Linked DNA regions of Mus musculus: region 1 is reported to be linked to region 2. Evidence: microRNA targets listed by miRTarBase, many of them from high-throughput screens and not tested one by one. Region 2 holds a microRNA gene; the other region holds the end of a gene's coding sequence.
Evidence for each region. The annotated mature microRNA mmu-miR-342-3p reads UCUCACACAGAAAUCGCACCCGU and lies in region 2 at 1,493-1,515, opposite strand. An mRNA with a match to its seed (bases 2 to 7 or 8) in the 3' UTR can be bound and repressed. Matches are read on the target gene's strand: a 7mer-m8 pairs with bases 2 to 8, a 7mer-A1 pairs with bases 2 to 7 and ends in A, and an 8mer does both.

Region 1: the mRNA of Xpnpep3 is a reported target of mmu-miR-342-3p. Seed matches in the 3' UTR shown: 7mer-m8 at 2,595-2,601, 7mer-m8 at 1,236-1,242 and 8mer at 650-657.

What each region holds. Positions count from the first base shown.
Region 1 is chr15:81,452,545-81,455,950 of GRCm38, reverse strand. It overlaps Xpnpep3 (X-prolyl aminopeptidase 3, mitochondrial), which reads right to left. Exons shown (of 10, transcript NM_001347075.1): 10 at 1-3,086. The coding sequence ends at 2,920. Among named protein-coding and RNA genes, the nearest start is that of Rbx1, 12 kb to the left of the region's middle.
Region 2 is chr12:108,656,789-108,660,194 of GRCm38, reverse strand. Mir342 (microRNA 342) reads right to left here and starts at 1,575; the gene lies at 1,477-1,575. The region is part of intron 3 of Evl (Ena-vasodilator stimulated phosphoprotein); the gene reads right to left.

The DNA.
Region 1 (3,406 bases), not on the chromosome of region 2:
ACATGCACAAAACACTAACTCTAGAAACACGATGTGTAGTAAGTTGCCCTGTGAGTAAGTTACTCACCCGCTCAGTGAGTCTTACTGTATGTGCTGGTGCACCTGGAATCCCAGCAAGACCAGCCTGGCCACACATCTGAGGCAGCTGAGCCATCTCCACTGTTTTCTGGATGGTTCTAACAGTCCAACTGAAATGCTTGGCTTAATCTGGGACTCAATGGGTAGCAGGTTGGACCATAGACCAAATTCACCACAACTCCATCAAAGCCACCCTAACCACCAGTTACATCTGCAGAACTTGACTGTAATGTAAGCAGAAGTCAGTTTCCTCTCTAACTCTGCTATACATAAAAGCGGCCCAGGCTTTCAGCTACAAAGGTGAGAACTGCAGACGACGTTGTCTTACAGAAAGAAAGGAAAGTCACTCCAAGCGAAGGCTGTTTGGGCACAGAGCCAGGTGGGTGAGAAGCCATGGTAATGGATTTATTCTTCCTTCTTTAAAAGTAGGTTAGGTCTGAGACCCAGAAGACGGACAACGGGCAGAAAGGACAGACTGGGCGGGCAGCCGCCACTGTTACAGCCCTCAGGAGAGACTGATAAGGCCTTGAGGATGAGTAGTCAGAGGGCCATTTGTGTCCTAATGTTTAGTTCTCACACTACCTTTGTCCCCTGCTGGTTTCTAGGTGTACTGTGAAATTTCTTAAGATGTGTCAGCTACCTGCACTGCAGAGACTGTTTGCTAATCTTCTAGCTTGCACTTCCCTAACAGAAATATGGAAAGTAGGGGCAGATCCCACAAAACCCTTGGATTTATGTTGTAGCAGTTAGCAGGTTTTGTTTACCATGGGACTACACATACTCAGATTTAAAAGAAGTTTACACACTAGCTCTTAGGGCTTCCCTCTGTCACATAAGCGTATTTTATTTTTGAGACAGGGTTTTTCTGTGTAGCTGTTCTGGAATTTGATCTGTAGATCAGGCTGACTTTGAACTCAGAGATCTGCCTGCTTCAAGTGCTAAGGGACTATGCCCAGTTCACACAAGCTTTTTTTTTTTTTTTAAAGGATTTATTTATTTATTTGATGTATAATGAGTACATTGCAGCTGTCTTTAGACACACCACAAGAGGGCATCAGATTCTATTACAGATGGTTGTGAGCCACCATGTGGTTGCTGGGAACTGAACTCAGGACCTCTAGTCAGTGTTCTTAACCTCTGAGCCATCTCTTCAGCCCCTCACACAAGCTCTTAATTAACCATTTGTATTCATCCAGCCCTGACTTGCTCACCTTGCAATCTGGGTTGTACAACTGAACCAGATGCTGTGTTTAGGGAAAGAAACATGACTCTGCCACTGCCTTGCCATGTCATCCCCTAGCGTTAGAGTAAGAGGTGGACCATAGGGTATTCATAACTACTGAATGCATCCCATATATTTAATTTTATTGTTATCTAACACAAGACTGCAGAACCTTTTATTTTGTTTTAATTTTTAGACAGGGTCATCACATAGCCATGAGTGGCTGTGACTTGCTCTGCAGACCAGGCTGCTCTGGGCCTTGACCCTATGACCATATTCCTGACACTGCATTCAGAACGCTGAATTACAGGCACTAGTCACTATGCCCATTCTGAGTTTGTCATGCTTTTGTTTTTTAAATTAAAAGGAGGTTTACTGGGAAGCTGAGTCAGGCAGTTTCACTGGCCCCAAGGATTGAGGCCAGGGGAGTCACCACGGGGAGTGGGGGAGACGAAGACAAGGAGAAGCAGCAGTATGCATTGATTTTGACAATACATGGCTGCAAGTAGCTACATGGATCAATTCATTAAGAACCTATAAAGAACTGAGTGGTGGTAGATAATGCTTTTAATCCCAACATTTAGGGAGGCAGAAGGAGGCAGATCTCTGAGTTCAAGGTGAACCTGGCCAACAGATCGAGTTCCAGGATAGTCAGAGCTACACAGAGAAACCTTGCTAAAAACCAACCAACCAACCAACCAACCGACCAACCATACACACCTGCGCATAACCCCCCCCCCATAAAAGTGAGCTGGGCGCAGTGCAGGAAGATCAATATTTTGAGGCCAGCAATAACTGTATATTGAGTTTGAGGCCAGCCTGGGCTACATAAGATCCTGTCACAAAGCACAGCAACTATGAAGGACCTGAGGAACATAGTGACATTTTGTCTGAGAAAATAACTTGTGAAAGAGAGGAAGGTGGACATTTGAAAAAAAAAAAAAACTCCTTTAAATGGAAGAAAACAGAGCTGGATCTGTGGAGACACATAGATACTTTCCTTTCTCTTTCATTTTCTTTCCAAGAAGAACCTAGACACTTTCCATGTTCTGTGCAATCAAATGGCAAGAAAGATCCAAGACTCTTGTTGGCTGACTGTTGCTGTATTCTGGCTGAATGGAAACACAGCAGGACCCCTGTGTTTCCTGAGGCCTGAGAGATTCCAGTGGGTGTGCGTGTGCAGAACCTGGACCAGGAGGCAGAGGCCATGGCAAGTAAGTATTGGCCACCTCAAACGCCGACAGGTAGCCATTAGCATAGGCTGAAACTTTGGTGAGAAGTAAAACATGTGGGCCTCACACAAGCATCTTAAGTGGATCTCAGAAGAAGTGCAGAAAGGGATGAAGAGAGTTTTCTGTTGAAATGTGTTAACTGGAATGCAGGGACACATAACCAAGCCCTTACTTTACATTCACATGTTAAACTTTCTGGATCATTAACGTCTCAGAATTAATGTCACTAAAGTTGTAGTAACAGATTATTCCACAATCCACGGTTCCAGATTTACATCCATTTAACATGAAGATGCCCTCGCTCACTGGCTGTGCAGTTCCCAGGGAAGCTGTGTCTAATCCCCAGAGACACTGACTACCTGCATAGCAGGGATGCCACAGTGGTGGTCACGAGGTCCTGCTGCAGATCTGTTCAATGTCATTCATCTCTTTGGGACAATCTGCAGAAAGGATAAGAGGTGAGTCCTGAGTCACCACTACATCATCCTCAATCCGAACTCCGAGCCCTCGGAACTTCTCTGGGGCATCTCTGTCGTCCTCTGGGATATAAATGCCTGAGAACAGAGGGGACTGTGATCAGTGACAGTAACCAGTGGATCAGAAGCAAGTTCACCTGTTTCAACTTCCTCATCTGTGCCTGACAGTTCTTCACTGCATGTACCTCAGAGCTCTGAGAACCAGATAAACTACCGCACACTGTAGAGCTGTGTACAGGAAGCTCGGTCAGATGGCTTTCATCAGCTAGGATTACTACTGCTGTAGCCATTTTGTTTAGTGGACTACAGGCTGCATTCAACTATAATACCAACCTGATTCTGTCATAGTCTAGTGGTTCAGGGAAGCCATTAATTTACAAATATATTATATATAAAGG
Region 2 (3,406 bases):
GAAGCTAGAGCACAGCTTTCAGGAGCTGGTTCTTTCCTTTCACCACTGTGGGTCCTGGGGACTGAACTATGGTTGCCAGACTTAGCAGCAAGCACCTTCCCTTCCTCAACTAAGCCATCTCATCAGCCCTTGTGTCCACTTCAAAGATAAGGAAAGTAAGACTTGGCATGGGGGCATGCAGAAATAGATGTGTTGGGTCTATGTTCACTAACTATAACAGAGTGTAGAACAGATGCAGGCAGCTAGGGCACAGAAGGGTCCCCTGCTTCTAGTTTGTGTCCCTCTTGAGCTGCCTGTGTTGGCTATATGTAGCTCACCTCGCTCGTCTGTTCTCTGAGTATGGAGGACAGGCGTGTAAGATAGCTATGCTCTGGATCACCGTCTCATACTATCATTGGGTCTGTGGGGTTTCAGGAAGCCTGAAGCATCAGTAGCATGTTGCCATCAGTGTTGAGGAAGTGACCTTGGTGCTGGAGGAGAAGGCAGCTTTTCTCTCCTGGGATGTAAACTGCAGATGAGCCAGTACTACTTTAAAGGAGATGCTCTGAGATTAAGGGTCCCCATGCAGGGCACCCTAAAAAGTTCAGGCCTTTCCAGAGACCTTCATGTAAACTCCCCACAGAGACCATGTCCTCCTCTCCTATTAGCACTGTCACATGAGTGGGTGATGAGAACTCCTGCTTTGTAAGGAGAGGCATTTCAAGCTGCTGGAGTGATTTTTCAACTGATAAAGAACTTGCACAATGTCTTGTGTTGCACTCAGAACACCCCTGTGAGGTAGGTGTGACAACCCATTTCACAGATGGAAAAACAAATTTAGAAAGGGTGAGTACTTTGCAAAAGAGCTGGAGAACAGATCTATCTTGTGGGAGGTATGAAGGTCTCTGTGCTCACAGATAAGTACTAGGGAACCAGGAATGCTGAACACACAGAGTTGTCCCTTCAAAGGGAGGGACACATAACCTGTTATCTGCCCAGAAGGTTGGGAGCAAACGTGGTTAACAGCCTGGTGACCTCTGTGCTATCTATGTGGCCGAGACCACACAGGATCCTCCCCAGACTCTTACTGTGAGCTTGTCAATCTACAGAACTCATCTTTATGGAAGATGTCACACGTACTTTACAAAGAGTTTTGATGTAGTCACATCTTAAGCTTTGTTGTATATACAGGACTGAGTTAATTATCACCAGGAAAGCACCAAATTGTGCTGTGCTTAAATGTGCCTAAACTTAATTATTTGGGGTCAGACTCCTGAAGTTTGAACCAATAGTTAGGCATGTTGGACTGAACTGCTTTCTTATCTCTCACTCTGCTGGTCATGGCGGTTACAGAATCCGAATCGAAACCCCACACACTGCCCAGGTCTGCATCCACAGCTCCTTCCACAGCTCACACACATCACGGCCACATTCACGGGGACTTCACCAGGGCTGCTGCTTGGTTTGGGGTGCTGTGCTTCTTGGTTCTGGTGGTGCTCAGCAGGCCAAGGTGACGGGTGCGATTTCTGTGTGAGACAATTCCATTGACCATGTCCCTCAATCACAGATAGCACCCCTCACCTTGAGCCCATTTTCACAGATGGCAAATGGTGCTGGCGGTTCAGGAGCTTCATCGTGGTCTTCAGGAGAGGGTACAGAAGCAGGAAGCGAGGGGTATGTTTGCAAGGTGCACAATACAATGGAAGAACACATGGTGAACCCACTCGCTCACTCGCTCATGCATGCACCACAAACACTTGCATGTCAGTCTCTTAGGGTGTAGATAAATACAGATATGGAAGGCAACTTGCTCCAGAGAAACTCAATAACTGAACCCAGCCAACCAAGAGTCCTGGGAAGGATCCAGGTTCTCTGAGCATCTGGAGTGAATCCACATTCAGAGTGGTACATAAGAAATATCACAAGCAGGAGAGCGCACTACGCCAAGTCATAAAGTAAGTCAAAGGCAAGGTGCATTGTGGAGGGCTGTGCAGGTCATTGACGTAAACAGCACTGGCAGCCAGGCTGGATGGATGCCTGGCCCTTATCTGGAAAGGGAAGTCAAGGCGAACTTGTTGGTTTGTCCATACAGTCAGGAGAGGGACGGTAAATCTATGGGCTGAAGATGAGGGAGCTGGGAGGAGACCATGAGATAGAGTTCTCCTGGGACTTGGCCCAGCACACATCCCTTCCTCCCCAAACATGGTCTAAGGCAGCTGGAACTGTGTTAAGGACTTTGGGTTGTAAATGAGCTCCAGGCCTGCCACATCCCCAAGCCTTGTCAGGGTGTACCTGGCATCAGGTATCAGGCTGGCTTTTGAGGTTCTAGGGACCGGTCTTTAATTTCCACACCTGGCTGAATCCATGTGCTCGAATGTGCTGTGCCAAGTGTTACCGTGAGGATAGAGGCAAAAAAAATACAGTAACAGGGGCACACTGAGGAGAGCGAGGAACTATGGGGATTCTGAATTACGTCAGGCAGGTGAGGAGGGAGAAGGGGTCAGAGGTGGGGAAGGCCTAGCAGGAGCAAAGTGTGAAGGGGACTTGTGTATTGTTGGCATGGAGACTGTTACAAAGCTCAGGTTCTCTTAGTGAGGTGGGTAGACAAACACAGAGGGCCACTGTTTACAGTGTGGCCAGTAGGGGGCAGGGCAGATGGAATGAGCAGAGCCTGGAAACAAAGCCTGGGTAGGAAGTGTGACCTTGGCCCAAAAGGCACACCCAGAGGAAGCCATACCAACAGCCAACATCCCCACTGCAGGGGAGATGCAAAAAACAGTTTAGGAGTTCTATCTCTTCCAGGGAAAAGTTTCATAATTTCTAGCAAAATAAGGTTTGTGGGAAGCAAAACTGAAGCTGACTTCAAGAAGCTCTGAGGTTTAAGACTTCACCCAGGTTCACAGTGAGGAGATAGACCAAGCCTATTCACAGTGAATCCTAGAGAAAATGCTGGCCCCTGGTACTCCTCAGAAACAATCTGAAATCAGCCCAGCCTAATCTCAAGCCTGCAGCCTTTTGATCACTCATCCTCCTGCTCTGCTTCCTGCCCCTTTCCAGACCAAGTTAACATCCAGGATTTCCCAGGCTGCAACTTCTGGTAGCCAGTTCATGCTTTTAAAGGAGCCACTACCTCCACAGAGAGCTTGGACACACTATGTGGCTGACCCCTAACTTCAGGCTAAAGCTGTTCTGCCCTTATTTGTCTTCAAAACTCCTGTCATTACTATTTTTATCTTCATGATCTCATTTCTGATAGGTACTGCATTCTAGATGGGAAATTGAGGCTCAGGTCGTGCCCAAGGTCAGATGGGCTATCAGCAATTGCAGGGCTGCTCCCCTGTGAATTCAAACTCACACCATTGTTGCAGGGACTGGAACTCAGGCTCATGGGGGGAAAAGTATTCTTCGTATGCCAAAAGGAAGAGTC